Oryctolagus cuniculus: one gene and its partners. The protein of the gene in region 3 purifies or fractionates together with the protein of the main gene of each other region. This does not show direct contact. Links are inferred from orthologs where the notes say so. Each region holds a gene or a part of one and is shown on either strand. Other genes may lie near its edges.

What was found.
Region 1: the proteins of RSRP1 (region 3) and C1QBP purify together in Homo sapiens (affinity purification with mass spectrometry; 3 studies listed by BioGRID and IntAct, counting the BioPlex papers as one, with this or other methods). This does not show direct contact. The link is inferred for Oryctolagus cuniculus from reciprocal best matches to the Homo sapiens genes RSRP1 and C1QBP.
Region 2: the proteins of RSRP1 (region 3) and PSME3 purify together in Homo sapiens (affinity purification with mass spectrometry; 3 studies listed by BioGRID and IntAct, counting the BioPlex papers as one, with this or other methods). This does not show direct contact. The link is inferred for Oryctolagus cuniculus from reciprocal best matches to the Homo sapiens genes RSRP1 and PSME3.
Region 4: the proteins of RSRP1 (region 3) and CPSF6 purify together in Homo sapiens (affinity purification with mass spectrometry; 3 studies listed by BioGRID and IntAct, with this or other methods). This does not show direct contact. The link is inferred for Oryctolagus cuniculus from reciprocal best matches to the Homo sapiens genes RSRP1 and CPSF6.

The regions. Positions count from the first base shown.
Region 1 is NC_091448.1:50,895,728-50,900,556, forward strand, and holds the start of C1QBP (complement component 1 Q subcomponent-binding protein, mitochondrial), read left to right. Parts: upstream 1-1,732; 5' UTR 1,733-1,820; coding exon 1,821-2,046; intron 2,047-2,333; coding exon 2,334-2,484; intron 2,485-4,829.
Region 2 is NC_091448.1:20,081,423-20,086,224, forward strand, and holds the start of PSME3 (proteasome activator complex subunit 3), read right to left. Parts: upstream 3,174-4,802; 5' UTR 3,103-3,173; coding exon 3,028-3,102; intron 2,926-3,027; coding exon 2,893-2,925; intron 2,776-2,892; coding exon 2,713-2,775; intron 2,520-2,712; coding exon 2,415-2,519; intron 1,630-2,414; coding exon 1,581-1,629; intron 788-1,580; coding exon 675-787; intron 444-674; coding exon 375-443; intron 225-374; coding exon 157-224; intron 58-156; coding exon 3-57; intron 1-2. UniProt on the Homo sapiens protein: Subunit of the 11S REG-gamma (also called PA28-gamma) proteasome regulator, a doughnut-shaped homoheptamer which associates with the proteasome. 11S REG-gamma activates the trypsin-like catalytic subunit of the proteasome but inhibits the chymotrypsin-like and postglutamyl-preferring (PGPH) subunits.
Region 3 is NC_091438.1:146,020,140-146,024,731, forward strand, and holds the start of RSRP1 (arginine/serine-rich protein 1), read left to right. Parts: upstream 1-1,392; 5' UTR 1,393-1,559; intron 1,560-1,719; 5' UTR 1,720-1,766; coding exon 1,767-2,226; intron 2,227-3,869; coding exon 3,870-4,021; intron 4,022-4,592.
Region 4 is NC_091442.1:71,570,169-71,574,274, reverse strand, and holds part of CPSF6 (cleavage and polyadenylation specificity factor subunit 6), read right to left. Parts: intron 1,112-4,106; coding exon 966-1,111; intron 89-965; coding exon 1-88. UniProt on the Homo sapiens protein: Component of the cleavage factor Im (CFIm) complex that functions as an activator of the pre-mRNA 3'-end cleavage and polyadenylation processing required for the maturation of pre-mRNA into functional mRNAs.

The DNA of each region.
Region 1 (4,829 bases), on a different chromosome or scaffold from region 3:
TACCTCACCTCACAGTGTGGCTTTTCCACACGTTGCTGACTTTCTGGAGTTTTCCAGAAAGTTCTTTCTGTTTTGTTTTTAGTGTATTTTTCTCATTCATTTAATAGAAAGCAAGGATGTTTAGCCGAAGCTGACGAAAGAAATATAATGTATTTTAAATAAAACATTGGTCATTCTGTTAAAAAGAAATGGGGGGTGGGGGATAATTTATTAGGCTCCTCAGCAAATCCTCTAGCGAGAGGTATTCTCCAGGTCAGGTAAAACTCACCTTGCGTAATTTATATCCGGCTTAAGCACCCGAGAAGTTTCCAGAGACTCATGTTCTTCTCCGGGGGGCAGAGGATGCAAACAGCTTCTAAGTAGCTTTCATGTTTCAGTACAGAAATATGTTTACCCCTGTAACACTGAGGTAGTTTTTAATATAGTATTTAGTTTTCTATTGGGCTTTTAAGGAAGTTATTTTTTTATCATAGCTGCTCAGGGATGAATCCAGGTTGGAAAGCCCACCCTAGCTCCACGTCACTAACACAGAAATAAGACCTGTCTGTCGAGCTGCAGGGGATGCTACACCTTAAACTTAGCGCTTTCACAGTGACACTGCACCATAGCCCCGAGCTACCCTTTCCCACCTCCTCTGAGCGGCTGTGTGCAAACAGTGTCCTCAAGCAGGCGGCGTGGGGCGTGGCTCAGGCGGCTGTCCTGCTTACATCATCACAGAGGGTGAAACGTGGGGTAGGGCACCTTTCCTTACAAGGGCGAGGACCCCAATCCCTGTCCTTGATAAAAAGCTTTCATGCTGCAAACCTGCTGACTGGGAAGGAGATGCCAGATGAGGACAAGGTTTTGCTCGGGGAGGGAAATTGCACTGTGATACCTAAATCCTCCGTCCACTACGGATGTGGCCATGCATCTCTGACACCAGTGCTTTAGCATAAGAGAAAGCACGGGCCCCGTGGGCGAGAATGTTATGTTGTATTTCATAAGAATATTGTAACCTGCAGAGAAATCCCGAGGGAGGGAAAAAATCAGGTTGGCTCAGGCGTACGTTGTATTTTGAGTCTTAAATAAAGCTATGAAAAGATCAACTCCTGTGTATATATATAATGCTCACATTCGCACCTGACTAGCAAGTGTCCATTGAGAACAAGTCTTGTACATGATGCATGTCCCTTCTTTCTTGTGTGTCCTTGCCCTTATTCACAGAAAGCTGTTTTGAAAATATTAAGTATTAGCCTTACGATTGCCACAAAGCTAGGGAGACATTTTCTTGGTACCTTCCACACCCTGGCGAGTGCAGAACCAGATGTTAGCCATGGCTTCTGGCTCCCGGCAAAATGACTTTGCCTGAGAACTTGGATGCAAGGCCGGAGGGAGCAGGTGAAGCCAGTCACGAGAGGTTAACCATGGGCACCGCGCCTCGCGCCTCTGGGTCTCACCTGGCTGCAGTGAGGGGAGTCAGCCAGGCAAGCGAGCAAAGCCAGGGCTTGATGCACACGAGAGAGCAGAGAAGGCCTGCGAGAGGTGTGCTGCCGTCGAGTGTGGAGGACGTGTGCAAGCCTGGCGCGCTCTGAGAATTAACCACAAAGCTCTGCGCACCAGACCCCAACACACTCCCGGGGCGGTCCAGGAATCCGGATTCGAGGCTGCACCGGCGGTCCCCGGCAGAGGGCGCCATCCGGCCCGCGGTGCCTTCGGTCTTTGGAGCGCCGGCGGCGGGAGACGCTTCCGGGCGAGGGCGGGCTTCCGGCGGCGGGAGGTCACTTGGGCGCTTTGGCCCGGGTCGTCCGTCGCCGCCGCACGTGTCTGACGCCGTCCGCGCGATGCTACCGCTGCTTCGCTGCGTGCCCCGCGCCCTGGGCCCCGCCGTCGCCGGCCTCCGCGCCGCGGCCCCGGCCCCGCCGCTCCGGCCGCTGCTGCTGCCCGCGCCCCGGCCTTGCGCCCGGCCGTTCGGGCTGCTCAGCGTGCGCGCGGGCTCGGTGCGGCGGCCCGGCCTCCTGCGGGCTCGCGAGCCCTGCTCCTGCGGCTGCGGCGCGCTGCACACGGAGGGTGAGGGGCTCGCGCGTGGCGTGGGGGACCTGATTCCCGACGGCGACTGACAGCACCGCTCCCCGGCTCCCCCGGCCCCGGGTGCGGTTTGGGGGGTGGGGTGCTGCGGCGCTCGTGACGGAATTGGCTTCTCCGGGCGAGCGGATGCAGCTGCCCGCTTCCAGGCCGGATAGCGTTGGGGAGGCGAGGCGGATGCCGGGCAGAGGGCGGCGGTCCCCGGGTCCCCGGGTCCCCGGGTCCCTGTCGGGTGCTTGGCGCTCCTTGACGTCTCCGCGATTCCTCCCCAGGAGATAAAGCCTTTGTGGATTTCCTTACCGACGAGATTAAGGAGGAGAAGAAAATCCAGAAGCATAAAGCCCTTCCCAAGATGTCTGGAGGCTGGGAGCTGGAGGTGAACGGCACAGAGGCTAAACTCGTGCGCAAAGTGGCCGGGGAGAAGTAAGTGCACGGCGCGCCCCGGGGTGCGCGGCGTGGGGCGGCCTCTGGCTCGGGACCCTAAGCTCGCTGGAGCCACATGTCAGCCACCCCGTGTGACTTCACAGCGGGACCCTTCCGCAGCCGCCCTGTCCCTTCTTCCCCCTCCGGCCCCTTGAAACCGCCAAGCTGCCTTCTCTGGATTTGCCTGTGTGGGACATTTTGTGTGAGTGGGAGTCATGCAATATGTGGCCATTTGTGTCTACCTCCCCCCCCCCCCCCAAGATTGATTTATTGGCTTGAAAGGTAGAGTTAGAGACGTCTTCCATCCACCCCAACAGCCAGAGCTGGGCCAAGCTGGAGCCAGGAGCCAGGCAGCAGGCACTTTTTCCATGTCCTCCCACGTGGGTGCAAGGGTCCAACACTTGGGCCAGCTTTTTTTTTTTTTTTTTTTAAGATTAATTTATTTGAGAGGCAGAGAGTAAGAGAATTACAGAGAGAAGGTTACAGAGAGGCGTCTGAGCAGGGAGCTGGATCCAAAGCAGAGCAGCCTATGGGTGCCAGCGTTGTAGGCAGCAGCTTAGCCAGCTGTGCCACAACACTGTCACCCCCGCACCCCCGTTGTTTTTGAGGTTCATTCATACTAGTAATAGCATGTACCAATAGTTAGCTTTTTTAATGACAACATAATATTTCATTATGTGGATATGCTAGATTTTATTTATGTAAGGAAATGGGAGACAGACCAGAGGAGACAAGATACGAAGTCAACGGCCAAAATCAATTAAGAAGAAAAATGGGAGCCAGCGCTGTGGCATAGCACGCTAAGCTGCCACCTGCGGTGCCTGCATCCCATATGGGTGCCGGTTCAAGTCTTGGCTGCTCCACTTCTGACCCAGCGCCCTGTTTCTGCTCCTGGGAAAGCAGCGGAAAATGGCTCAAGTGCTTGGGTCCCTGCACCCACATGGGAGGCCTGGAAGAAGTTCCTGGTTTCCATCTGGCCATTGTAGCCATTTGGGGAGTGAACCAGCAGATGGAAGATCTCTTTCTAACTCTGTCTTTCAAATACAATAAATAAATCATAAAGGAAAAAAAAAAAGACAAGTGAATTTGCAAAGATGGCCAACCACTGGCATGCGCACAGACAGAACACGTGGCCGAGAGAGCAGGAATTTATTTACGGGCTGGATTTAAATAGCATAGGCCTGATAAGGGCCATGAGGTGCAGTGGAGCTGAGCTAGCTTTTCTATGGAATGCAGAATGCAGAGGGTAGGGTGGGCAACAGTACAGGGCGTAGGACTGAGCTGGTCTCTTGAAGGAAGGTAAAGGGTCCCTCAGGCAAAGAGCCACAATGCCTGAGGCTCATGTCCTTGTTCTGTCAGTTATCCATTCATTTGTTGGCAGGCATTTGACAGGGTTCTATTTACTTTGTGATTCTGGTTTTTTATTTATTTATTTTTTTAATTTTATTTATCTGACAGATAGTTATAGACAGAGACAGAGAGAAAGGTTTTCCTTCCGTTGGTTCACCCCCCAAATGGCTGCTACGGCCGGCGCTGCGCCAGTCCGAAGGCAGGAGCCAGGTGCTTCTCCTGGTCTCCCATGGGGTGCAGGGCCCAAGCACTTGGGCCATCCTTCACTGCCTTCCCGGGCCACAGCAGAGAGCTGGCCTGGAAGAAGGGCAACTGGGACAGAATCTGGCGCCCCGACCGGGACTAGAACCCGGTGTGCCAGGCGCCGCAATGCAGAGGATTAGCCTATTGAGCCACAGCGCCGGCCTTTACTGTCGTTTTGAAAGACAGATAGCTCCCATGTGCTACTTCACTCCCTAAATATTGAAATGTCCAGGTATAGGCTACGCTGGAGCTGGGAGCTGAATCCAGGTTACCAGGTTATTGCCTTAAAGGTGGGCTTTAGATATTCTGGGTGCAGTTCCCCTTATCAGACACAGGGTGTGCAAGTGTTTTCTCCCATCCTTGGGTGTTTTTTTCCTTTCCCTATGTTATTGGTATTGACATACACTTTTTTTAGTTATTGTTTGACTACACCAAGTGAACTATTTTTTTAAAGATTTATTTATTTATTTGAAAGAGTTACGCAGTCACTCCCCAGTTGGCCACAACGACCAGAGCTGTGCCAATCCAAAACCAGGAGTCAGGAGCTTCTGCGTCTCCCACATGGGTGCAGGGGCCCAAGGACTTAAGCCATCTTCTATTGCTTTCCCAGGCCATAGCAGAGAGCCAGGTATGGAGTGGAGCAGCCGGGTCTCAAACTGGCGCCCATATGGGATGCCTGCACTGCAGGCCAGGGCGTTGACCCGCTGTGCCAAAGCACAGGCCCCAACATACACTTCTAATTTTGATGAAGC
Region 2 (4,802 bases), on a different chromosome or scaffold from region 3:
ACCACATGGGGATATTTAGCTATTTTAGAAACCAATTTGGCTCTTGTAATATAATATCTGAAAGGAGAGAGAATAGGAGGAAGCTGCAGGAGGCCCCAGAGGGTGCCTGGCAGCTCACCAGCCCCTAATTCCTGGGCCACGCCCAGGCAGGCCTACCTAGAAATCTGGTCCAGATAAGATGCAGCTTCACTCTCAACGGTTCTTAGTTCTGCAACTGTCTCCTCCTGAAAAACAAAAACCCCAAAACCTGGTAAATCAAAAGCCACTTCCACACCACCCCGAGCCGCCCCAAAGAGAAGGGAAAAGCAGAAAAAGCGGGAGGGACGAGCGTATCACCCAACCTTTCTCCTCAGTTTGGAAGGCAGGCACGCTACCTGAATGGACACTCCAAAGTTGTTCCCATCTTCTATCCGGGGAATCAGGAGCTGTACCCACATTTTCACCTGGAGGGTGAGAGCCCAAAACACATATATGAAGATGCTGGGCTTTTCTGCTGAAGCCACGAAGTACCCAGCTGGTACTGCTGTGGCCAGATGCTAGGAATCCACGAGTTAAGACAGCTACTGTGCCAGCAGCCCACCCCAGCGCCACGCCCCCAGCCCCTCACCCACCAGTCTCATGGTGTCAGTGGGGCTACCCGCAGTGAGCCCACGGGTCACTAGCCCCTGCCTCACCGTGTTACATTTCTCGATCAGCAGCCGGATCTCAGGTTTCACTTTCTCAATAATGTCGACCAGCTGCTGGTTGCTTTTTAGCATCCCATTGGGCATCACAAACACCTTGGTTCCTGGCAGGGATGGGAAGGTCGAATGATTAGGCAGGAGGGAGGCCGGGGCATCTTCCACTCTCCTTCCCAGGCCAGTGAGGGCTCTGACCGCTGCCCTTCATCTGTCACAGTCCTACCACGGCACCACTGACAGAATCAGAGATGCACAGCTCAGTAGATAAGCATCCAAAGTATGCCCGAAGTCTAAGAACAAGAACGTTAAAATGGGGCCAGCACTGTGGCACAGCAGGTTAAGCCAACAGCAGCATCCCATATGGGCACTGGTTTCAGTCCTCGCTGCTCCACTTCCAACCCAGCTCCCTGCTAAAAAAGCAACAGAAGATGACCCAAGTGCTTGGGCCCCTGCCCCACGTAAAAGACCTGGAAGAAGCTCCTGGCTTCGGCCTAGCCAAGCCCCAGCCATTGTGTCTGTTCCAGAGGACAGATCTCTAATTCTGCCTTTCAAATAAACAAAGTAAATCTTTAAAGATAAATAAAATAAATCTTTAAAAATAAATAAACACCTTAAAGACGGAACACATCAACAACTACTGCTGAGAAGGAAATAAGTAACATGGCACTGGGGCTTCTCTGACCCGCGCGAGCTGTGTGGGCTGCTGCTCCAACCACTCCCCCTCAGCGGCCCACACGAGGTCAATGCTAAATGACGCCCCTGTCCGGGGGACTTGGGAACACTGGCTCTGGGAAAGCAGGTCTTGCTTCTGGGCTGAGGGAACGCCAGATCCATCCTACTTCCCAGGGCAAGCGGTCAGGCGGTCAGGGGGAGGTCAGGGGGCACCGGGGTGGCTCTTACCTTGGAAGGCCTCGTCACACTCATCCAATCTTCGCTTCTTGTAAGTGGGCTAAGGACACAAAGAGGCAGGAATCAGCCTGCCGTACACACCCACAAGACACCCTTCAAGCAAGTCAACTGTTCCTTGACCCTGTAGGTTGTCCTGTTCTTTTCTGCATAATTTCCCAAGTACATATAAAGCCTGAAGAAATGTTCTTGCCACCAAGCAACAACCTTGCAAGAAACACAACACTTTAAGCAACTGGGGGAAAGGGAGGACACTATAAAGAGCAGGAAAAAGGAACCAATCGAGGCACGGTGAGGATAATTAAGGGGATATGTACAAACTTGCTGGTTCCATGAGGGAACACCATATTCAGTTAACAAGAATTCAGCAATCGCTGGGCACTGGGAACAAAGCTAGGTGCCGAGGACACGAGGACAATGAAGACAGTTCCCGCCTGCAGACGTGCAAGTTCTACCGAGGAGACGCTGACAAAGAACAAAGCGTCATCGGTGTGCTAAGAGGACGCAGATGGTGACTGCACGGAAAAGGCAGGGTCTGCGACTCCACGGCAAGCGCCTCAGCCACGAGACTCAAGGCCGTGAAGCGGAGGCAAGAGGAGCCTGTTCAGCCTGGGAAGCGACGGGGGCCTGTGGCCAGGTTAGTGCACTGAGACTCCCTGGGGCGCATTCACCTCGTTTTAGACATGCACATCAGGGTCTGAAAGTATCCTGGAGCCATCATGCCAGACCCCAATGCCACCATCCCCCGACGTATGTTCCAGCTCCCCAGGAACTAGAAAACAGAGAACCTATTGCTTCAGAACACAAAGATAAACACGGGCCACTTACACCATCCAGTCCATCGTGGCTATTGGTGAGCAGAATGGGGTCAGGGACCGGGAGATTCATGTCCGAGTGGATCTGAGTTAGGTCATGGATGTTTAGGATTGGTTCCTGAAAGAGACAGGCCCACCCTCAAAACATTGGTCTTTTCAAGCTGAACAAAGAACCATTTCACTGGAAGGGCAAGCCGTGAGAGTGCTTTACAGCACAAAACAAAACAGAGTCAGCACACAACTGGTTCCATCTGACAGAAAGGGCAGGCCTGAAGACGCTGGGGAACTGAAGTAAGCAAAGTGTCTCTCACCTTCAAAAAACTATCAAGTTCTAACAACTTCTTTGGGAAAAAATTTGCCACCAAGTCTTCTGCCTAGATAAGGGAAAATACAACTGAATTAATGACAGAGGGAAGGGCTCCCTCTGCAATCACCTCCTCTTGGGGAAACTCCCAACTCCTAATCAATACGCATTTCTCCATTTCACTCACCTCACTTGTGATCCGCTCCCTGAAAGAATCAACCTAAAAAGAACAAAGACAGCAATTCAGGAAGAGCAATTCAGTACCTGGCAACAGAGGTAAGGACAGGATGGGGAATCCCAAACCCAGCTCTCTGCCCCTCACCTGGCGATTGTAATGAGAAGCTGAGAGGCCCCCAGACTGCAAATACTTTATTTTTTTGAGGATCCATTTCTCCATCTCAGGAGAGGAAAGCGGGGCTCGGAGACAGCACCCGCCTGTCTCCTCTCCCCTCCCTCCCTGCGTCTGAAGCTGTCTGAATTTGACAAAGACAGGGAGATGCGGGGATGTGAGATCACAAACGTGCCTAGCCCACCTCACACCTGGCCTATGACAGGAAGCGGGCCAGCCGCCAAGGGCAGGGGCAGCGCCCCCGGGGCGGGGGCGTCGCTGGGCTGGGGGACTCCCAGCTGTCACCGGCCGAAAGCAATGACTCCAACACGTGCCTGCAGAGGTCTCCCCGGGTTCTCCATCACCAGACGCGGGGACGGAAGGCCTCTCTGTAATACCCTTCCCCCTAAGGCCGTCTCCGGGCGTGGGGGGCTGGGCTGAGCCGGGCGGAAGCTCCGAGCCGGTGTCCCCAGGGAGACAAAGACACCACGGGGAGTAGGGAGGCGGTCAGACGGCTGGGGGACAGAAGCGAGGGGTGAGAAGGCCCGGACCGGTGCCGCTACCTTGAGCTTCACTTCCTGATCCACCTTCAGCAACGAGGCCATGGCCGGGCCGGGCCGTGTCCGCTCCGCTGGAGACCGGAGGCGCTGTGGGCTCCGGGGAGGGGCCAGGGGGACCTGAGGAATTCCGGCTGCCCTCGGGACCCGGCCGCCGTCTCTAGCTCACTCACTGCTCGCTCGCTCCCTCCTTCCGTGCGGTCCGTCCGCCTGCCCGCCTGCTGCCTGCTGCCTGCTCGCACTCTCCCTCGCCCTCCCGGCTTTCGCCGCTCACGCCGGAAGTTACGTCACAGCCAATCGCCGGGGCTCCCGCGAGGATGCGCGCGTACTCTGCGCAGGCGCGCTGTCTGTCGGGCTGGGGGCTCTGCGACTGGGACTGGTCGCGGCCGGCTGCTAAGCTGGCTGAGAGTGAAGCAAAAGGGAAGGTGGTAGGAGTTGGTTTTTTGAGAACTGAGCTTTCAAGAGACTCGGGGACTGTTTGGCTTTCTGTTGGCCCCGATTCGCCTTCCCCGAAGGGATTCTCAGGTCGCAGCTGCCCGCCAGACGACTCCGTCGCGCCCCAGTGACGTCGGCCGGAGGAAGCGGGTGGCCCGGGTGCCGAGTTCGGGATTTTAGTCTGTGATTCCCGCTACCTTTTCCCGTTGGCCGCAGCTCAAGTGCTGTGGCTAGAGACAAACACCTTTCATTGTACCATACGCTTCCAGACCTCAGAGGTCAACTACGTAATGGGCACACTGATGGCTGGATTAGTGCAGGGCGTGTCCCAGGTCCGCGGGGGCCCCCGCAAGCCGGCTCTCCTGACTGCTAGGGCGGTGCCTTATCCGTTTTCCTAACGGAGGCCTAAGGCGCACTCTTCACCCATTCGTTTGCATGTATGTTTTTTTGAAAAACAAGGCCTATTTATTTGAAAGGCAGAGTTGCGGGGGGGGGGGGTGTCTTCCAACCACTGGTTCAGTCCCCAGATGGCCGCAAAGGCTGAAGCCGGCAGCCAGGAGCTTCTTCTGGATCTCCCACGTGGGTGCAGGAGCCCAAGCATTTAAGCCATCTTCTGGTGCTTTCCCAGGCGCATTAGCAGGGAGCTGGATTGGAAGCGCAGCAGCTGGGACCTAACCGCAGCCCATGTGGGCTAAGCCACAACGTGGGTCCCCTAGTGTATCTCTTAACATTGGTTATTTCATTCAGTAAAGTGGGCCAGGGCACTGCGCTAGGCTA
Region 3 (4,592 bases):
ATCAATCAATCTTTTTTTTAAAAAAAAAAAAAAAAACACACTTGCTCTCCTCACAGAAGCGAGTTCAGCCAGCAGTTGATTCACATTTTTCAAGTTTCATTACAATGCCTGTGTTAGGCAGAAGTCAGATATGAGCTTATGTGTGTGTGTGACAAAGGCCTAAGGAGACATTTGGGTCCAGCATATGCATCTCAAAGTCATCCCGATAACCTTCCAGGGGCAGCCCAGTACCTGCATCCTGCCCTGCTCCTTCTACCCAACAACCTGCCTGGTGGGGGTCCCCGACCCTTCTGCCTGACAATCTTCCAGGTGCAGCCCAGCCCCTTCTACCCCATAACCATCCTTCCTCTAAGGCTCCTCTCAGGCGGGCGACCCCAGGCAGGCTTCCCCCTGTCTGATAACTTCAGGGGGAAAACTCAGATTAGAGTTTTTCTATTTATATCCAAAAAGTCCTTTGTTCCAAGAGGAGCAGAGGTGGGGAAGCAAGACCCATGGCCTTAAAATCCCCCGGCCTCAACTGCGCGCTCAGCCCTCTGCCCTCTGCTGAGCCGCCCGCCTGTACTCTCTCCACTCAACCATGCAACCTCGCTCTTCCCCAGTCCGAGCGACTGGGCACTCTCTCTGATTGTCTGGAGAGGTGCCCATCCGTTCTCACGGATGTCACTTCCCTAATAAACCTTGCTATTTTACCTCCCACTACTCTGCCTCAGGCCTGAATTCTTTCTTGCGAGAAGAACGCTGCCATTCACCGGTAACACCTGGAATGTACCCTATTTGTATAATCCTGAAAACAAGCAAATCGCCATTATTTAATCCCCCACATCAACCTAACCCCTTAAAGGCCAATTATGGGGTCCCTGCATTTTGTCTCTGAGTTACCTCTACCAGCTAACACGTGAAACTTTCAGAGACAACACTGCACTTGCATGAACCCTGTGATGTCGCGGGGTCTAGCCGCGGCCGCCGCCTCCTGCAGCCCCGGGGGCCGGGGGCCGGGGGCCAGGAGAGCGTCCAGGGCACAGCCCAGGCCTACAGCCGCCCGGAGGGTGCCGCCATCGGCAGCCGGCGGCAGGGTCTCCCCTCGTGCCATCCCCCGCCAGGCACTCGGGCCCGCATCTGCCCTGGGCGTCACGCCGCGCCACACGGCGCCCCCAAGTCTAGATCGAGCCTGATGGAGCCCACAATGGCCTCAAATCAGAACAACCCAGGAACATTCCTCCGCAACACCCTGAAATACTGGCGCGGTGCCCGGGACGCGCTGACGCATGCGTATCTCGGAGGCGAGGCGGTGGGCGGGAAAAAGGGAGGGGAAGGCGGCGGTTGGGTTAGAGGCGAGCCACGCCCACCGCGCTAACGTCTGTGCGCATGCGCGGCCTCGGGTTTCTGGTACTTTAGTCGCGCCTGGGGGACGTCCGGCTCAGTTGGCGTCAGGACTTCGCTGTGGTAGTTTGCCGCGTTTTTGGGAGTAGGCGCTAAAAGCGCAGCTTCGTCCCGACCTTCGAAAGAAAGGCTGGCCTTAGCCTTTCTTCCGGCCCTGAGGGAGGCGGCGACCGCCGGCCGTAAGTTTCCCGCAGTTCCGTCGGGTGGGGGGGCGGCGTTTCGCGGTAGCGCCGTGGGGCCTAGCGAGGCCTCGGGGCTCGGCTGCTTCCGGGGCGGGCGCCCGGCCCCGCCCCCACTTCCGGGCGCTGAGTTGTTTTCCTGTTTCTCGTTCCCCGCCAGGCTTGAGTTTCCGGGAAGGACTCTGCTCTTCAGACCGCGGGGGCGAGATGTCCGGCTACGTGAGCGCGCTGTGGCCCGGCTCGCCGCAGGACAAGGGCTCGCCGGCCAGCTCGGGCCGCTCCAGCCGCTCGTCCTCCGGCAGCTCTCGCCCGGCCTCCCGCCGCTCGAGCCGGTCGTCGTCGCCGGGCCGGAGCCGCTCCCGCTCCCGGTCCCGCTCCCGGAGGCGCCACCAGCGGAAGTACCGGCGCTACTCGCGCTCCTACTCGCGCAGCCGCTCGTGGTCGCGCAGCCGCCGGCGCGGGGACAGGCGCCGGGCATCGCCCCGCAGGCGCCCCGGGTCTCCGCGGCGGGGCCGCTCCCGCAGCCGCTCGCGCTCCCGGAGGTCGCCGCGCGGGCGCCGCCACTACGGCTTCGGGCGCACGGTGTACCCGGAGCAGCGCGGCCGGCGCCGGGCCCGGTCCCGCACGAGGTCCCGCAGCAGGACCCCCTTCCGGCTGAGCGAGAAAGGTGGGTGTCGGTCCGGGAGGGACGGGGTCTGGGGGTCTCCGCCGCTCGCGGTGCTGCGGGGAAGCCTGGGTGCTGGTGGGGAGGGAGCACGCGGGCTGGAGTGCGGCTGAGAGCGGTGCCCTTGGATGCGGTGGGGGTTGATGCTTCGGGTGGAGGAGACGCTTTCTCCAGGCTGTTTGCTCTCGTCCTGGTCTTTTTCTTTAAAAAAGAAGAAAGTTTTTATTATTTGAAAGAGTTACACAGAGAGAGGAGAGGCAGAGAGAGGTCTTCATCCGATGATTCACTCCCCAGTTACCACAATGGCTGGAGCTGCACCGATCCAAACCAGGAGCTTCTTCTGGTCTGCCACGCAGGTGCAGGGGCCCAAGGACTTGGGCCATCTTCTTCTGCTTTCCCAGGCCATAGCAGAGAGCTGGGTCGGAAGTGGAGCAGCCGGGACTCGAACCAGTGCCCACATGGGATTCCAGCACTGCAGGCCAGGGCGTTGTCCCGCTGCACCACAGCGCCGGCCCAGGCATAGTCTTTTAAATGGGAATGATGTGCTTACCTATTCTAAGTTGCTACTAAAGTAACTACCAGAAATTTTCTTATTTTTGCAGGCAGACAACTTTTCCATCTGCTGCCTCACTGCCCAGATGCTTACAACAGCCAGGGTGGGGCGGGGCCACAGACTGGAGCCCAGAACCCAGTCTCCTCCATGGGTGTCAGGGACCCCTCCTGCTTCCTCCTCAGCAGGGAGCTGGAAGAACTTGAACTTGGGTGCTCTGACATGTGATGGGGGTGTCCCAACTGCTTAAAATTTTAGCTGCTGTGGCATAGTGTGTAAAGCTGCTGCTTGTTGTACCGGCATCCCATATGGGCGCTGGTTTGAGTTTTGGCTGTGCTGCCTCCAACCCAGCTCTCTGCTTTGGTCTGGGAAAGCGGTAGAGGATGGCTCAAGTCCTTTGGCCCTTGGACCCGCATTGGAGACCAGGAAGAAGCTCCCGGCTATGATCAGCTCAGCTCTGGCTGTTGCAGACATCTGGGGAGTGAACCAGTAGATGGACGACCTCTCCCTACCTCCCTCCCCCTCTTCCTCTCTCTAACTGTGCCTTTCAAATAAATGATCTTTAAAGAACATTTTTTAGCTGCTCCCCAAATATCTATCCCTTAAATGAACTGTTGAATTGGGGAGGAAAGTACCAAGGATTTTTTTAAAACTGGTTCCCAGATACCTGCCCCTTAAATATTTATTGAATTGGAGTAATACCAAAACACATTTTTTAAAGTGTCAGTAGTAAACAAAGTTGAATTGTCTAGTATTTTGTAACATGACTTCTGATGTGGTAGGTGGGATTGTGGAATAGGAAAAAATTAGGTAACAAACTTACGGAAGTGTGAATGTGGGCTTTAGTAGTAGTAGTATTGATCAAGAAGTTGATATCAAAGGTCTGTTAAAAACTCCTAGGTTCAGAAATAACTATTTGAAGAGAAAATAACAAGGTGGTTGTCAGAAGAACTGAAACTAGGGTTTCACTGTGCCTGTGGCAAATAAACACGGCTTTTACACATCTGGATATAGCTGTTTTAAGTAAAACAAGCACATTTTTGGGAAAAACTACAGGATTAATAATAATGAATGTGTCTTTTTGTTTGTTTAATAGATCGAATGGAGCTGTTAGAAATAGCAAAAGCCAATGCAGCGAAAGCTTTAGGAACGACCAACTTTGAGCTGCCGGCTAGTCTCAGAGCGGTTTTAGTAGCCAGAGAAACAAGCCGTGGGGCGGCCGTGTCAGATGATGGCGCGAAGGCTGAGGTAAGCACTCTCGTTTACACGAACAGACTCTTGAGAAAGCTGCTGCCAGAGGGGTTTCATTAGCCGTTTTGATTTACCTTAGACTGTCTCTCTTGGGATGTCTACCCATACATAATTCCCTAAAATTAGCAGTCGTGACCTTCTAGACAGGATCGCACCTGTGAGAATGGGAAGTTAATGAGCTTTACCTTCAGTAGACATGGTGTTAGTCATTTCACGACAACATCAATATATGGTAGCTGGGACATTGGTGATTTTTATTAAGTTTTTTACAATTCCGGTCTTAACTCTAGCCTTCAGGGTGTTTGTCTGTAGCTTTCATTTGCAGCGTTGTTTTCCTGCACATCTATATTCAGCATACAGTATAGTTTACCTGCTTTATTTCTGTCTTATAGAAATCATGAATGTGCTCTCCAGACATTGATGAAGAAAATCTGTTGGTAATTGGTACATGGCTAAAGCACCAGAGGTTTACCTGAGTTTCCCTCAGACACTGAAAACTCGAGTTTCCTATTGGTAGATCCATGTGCATGCTAGAATCTGGGGCTGCATTTGCATATGGTACTCAAGA
Region 4 (4,106 bases), on a different chromosome or scaffold from region 3:
CCTCTACCACCTTGTGGAAATGCTGCACGTGAACTGCCTCCTGGAGGACCAGCTTTACCTTCCCCAGACATTTGTCCTGATTGTGTAGCTGCAAATATCCAAATACTCATAAATAGCACTTATTAGAACAGCTTTTTGAAATGTAACCACTGCTACTAGAAACAATTCTACCTCAAAGTCCATTTACGCTATATATTAACTTTCAGATGCCTTGGGCCTGTGCAAGCTACATAAAAAGTATTGGTTAGGAAAACAATCACATCTATTTAAGTCTCAAAATACCAGTTTAAATATATTTCCAATGATTAAATGAATCACTTTCAAAATACCAGTACTCTGCAGCAGCCAAGACTGAAATTCTTCAACAGAAATCTTAATTTCAGTAGCAAAGAGATCATTTAAAATTTGTAACATATTCTTCAGTTATGTCTTAAGTGCTAAAACACTAAAAGAAAAACAACCACTTGAATCTCTGTGAATTGCAGGGTCATCCATCTTATTGCTTTCAATGATAATATTTGGTGTGTGCAATGCAAGTCTTCTCTACACTCACTTTACCAAGTGGTGAAAGGTCTTGGTGCCAAGCAGAAAATCAACAAATATTTTCTGGTTATCAGTGGTCTCCCACACCATAACACACATCCATATAGCTTTCTTCCAATCTAAGAATTAGAATCTAGATCTTTTCTCTGAGATGAGAATGACAGGACAAGAATGGCAGCACTATTGAACATGAACACTGTTGCATAGTAGCAGGTCTGTGACATCAGGAAGAAAATGGAACGGAGCTGGTTCTCTGTACATGGGCCCACAATCATAATCAGTGGTTAAATTAAAACAGGACCTTTTCTGGGGTGATTCCCCAATGAACTATTACAATGATTTCCCTAATAACATCTAATACATGCTACTAACTGGTTAAAATGAACATATTTGAATAAAAGCCTCTGGGGGGAATTGCTTACTTTTCCTGGACTGCATTTCAAATTGACTCAGGAACTGTTTATTGCATGGAGTTACAACAGGATTCTGACCATGAAGTTCTCTTTTAGGCAACAAATCCATTAACTTTTTTGAAGATGCTTCAGATCCAACACCAACGAGGGCAAACCTAAAAGATGTTTAAAGGGGTGAGGGCAGAAAGTGAGGAGGGATTAATATTACAGCTATCTTTAAAAAGGATTTATTTGAAAAGTAGAGCAACAGATAAGGAGGAAAGGCATATAGAGAGAGACAGAGCTTTCATCTGCTGGTTTACTCCCCAAATGATCCCTAAAGCAAGGCTGGGCCAGGCTGAAGTTGGGAACCACGAACCCCATCCTGGTCTTGTACATGTGCTGTGGGGGCCCAAGTACTTGGGCCATCTTCCACTGCCTTTCCAGACACACTGGCAAGAAGCTGGATTGGAAGCAGAGTAGCTGGGACTCAAACTGACACTCATAACAGATGCAGCTGTCACTAGCAGTGGCTTAACCTGTTGAGCCACAACATCAGCCCAATATTACACATTACATTTATTGAAAAGGAAATGGTCTGAATTTACTTTTACCTAATTTAAAAAAAAAACTGAAAAAATTTTTTAATATTTATTAGAAATGCAGAGTTACAGATAAAGAGAGTTATGGAGGGAGTGTGAGAGAGGGAGGGGGAAGAGGGGAGATGGAGACAGAGACAGAGAGAGAGACAGACAGAGAGGAGAGAAATAGTTTCCATCCACTGTTTCACTCCCCTAAATGATTGCAATGGCTAGAGCTGGGCCGGACTCAAGCCAAGAGCCTAGAATTCCATCCAGCACTCCCACATGGGTGGCAGGGGCCCAGGTACTCAGGCCATCTTCTGCTGTTTTCCCAGGTGCATTAGCATGGGGCTGGGTGGGAATCAGAGCAGCTGGGACTCAAACTGGTGCTTATTACAAATGCCTGCATCTGAAGTGGATGCTTAACCCACTGTACCACAATACCAGCTCCTGAAAATATTTCTTAAAGCTATAAAATTCACTTCATTTTCTATAAAATATTTTCATAAATTATTATAAAAGTCAGTCAGAATGTCTAATTTGGGACAAGTGTTTAGCCTAGTGGTCAAGATGCCCACATTCCTTATCAGAGTACTTGGGTTTGAGACCCATCTCTAGTTCCTGACTCCAGCTTCCTGCTCATGTACACAGATCCTGGAAGGCAGTGATGATGACCTAAGTGACCTAAGTCACCATGCAAATGGGAGACCTGAATTCAGTTTCCAGTCTCAGCCCCAGAAGAGGGCCACTGTGCATTTGTGGAATGAACAAATGGATGGGAGCTCCCCCAGTCTTTCTCTCGGGATTTGCCTGTTCCATACACTGCACGTGAACAGAATTACACACTACGTGGTCCTTTATGACCAGTTTCTTTCACTTAGCATGTATTCACGTACTATCCATGTTGTTACCACTGCATTTCTTCTTCTGACAGAGTAAAATTTCATTGCAGAGCTACAAGATTAAAAAACCCATCCATCAATTCATGGGCATCTGGAGTGTTTCCACTTTTTTGCCACAATGGAAAGATGCTATAGTTCATCATACAATCCAGTAATTCTATTCCCAGGTATATACTCAACAGAATAAAAATACATGGTCAAAGTTGGAACACAAATATTCACAGTGGCATTTTACTTAATCACCAAAAGTCAAACGGCCCAAATGTCCATAAACAAGCAGAGTTGTTTTTGTTTTTTTTTTAAACTGCTCCATCTGCCTAGGCTCACCTCCAAGCTCCTAATCCTGATTCCAGTTTTCTGCTAATGCAGACCTTGAGGGGCAGTGGTGATGGCTCAAGTAGTTGTGTTCCTGCCACCTGTTGTGTTCCAGGAAACCTGGAATAAGCTTCTGGCTCCAAGCCTCAGTCCCCAGGCTGCTGCAGGCATCTGGGGGAGTAAACTAGCAGAAAGAAGCTTGCTCTCTCTCTCTCTCTCTGCCTCTCAAATAGATAAAGTGCTATATCCACAATAATGGAAAAGTACTCATCCATAGAAAGAAATGCTGACATATGCTGCAACACGGATAAACCTTGAAAACATACTAAGTAAAAGCAGCCAGACACACAGGATAACATATTATGACTGCATTTGGGTGTGGAATTTCTAAGACGAGATGATCTGCAATTAGGGGCAATGGTGGTTAGCTTTATAAATATATTTTAGAAATCACTGAATGGTACACTTTAAAAGAGTGAAATTTTAGTATATGAAAACTGTATCTCGGAGATACATGCATTTAAAAAAACTGAAAGATTATCAATTTGTACAATTACCAGATAGCATAGATTAATGGGGGGTAATTTTTTTCTCCCTAATGTAGCCCTTTAACTAGATCCTTTATTCTACTCAACAGATTTTGCTACATGATCTAGAGTTTTCTTGAGTCATAACACTTAAGAAACTACTTAATTTATTGAATAATTATTCAGTACCACTTCCTACATGCCAAGTACCATCCTAGGCTGCGGACATAACAGTGCACAAAACAGTATCTCCGCCCCTGTGAAGCTTACAATCTGCTGGGAAAAGATAAGCCCAGAAGTGAAATACATATAAACAAAAACTAAAAGCAAATAGAAGAAGGTACTGTTCTGCACAGAGAAAGTCTTAAAGAGACTAATGTGGCTGAAAAAGGAGTGATAAGGAATAAGGTTAGAGAGGGGCAGAAAAACACAGATCATACATCATCTTGGCGATGACATGGTAATGACTGGGAAAGGAAGTCATTCAAAGATTCTGAGCAAGACAAGTACCGAGGTCACTTTTTTTTAAACTTTTATTTTAAAGGATTTTATTTGAGAGACAATTACAGAGAGAGAGAGAGGGAGAGACAGAGAGACAAGTCTTCCATCCGCTGGTTCACTCCCCAAACGACCGCAATGGCCGGAGCTGTGCTGATCCGAAGCCAGGAGCCAGGAGCTTCTTCCAAGTCTCCCACGTGGGTGCAAGGGCCCAAGCACTTGTGCCATCTTCTACTGCTTTCCCAGGCCATAGCAGAGAGCTGGATCAGAAGAGGAGTGGCCGGAACTACAACCAGCACCCATATCGGATCCCAGCACCACAGGTGAAATGTTTAGCCTACTATGTCA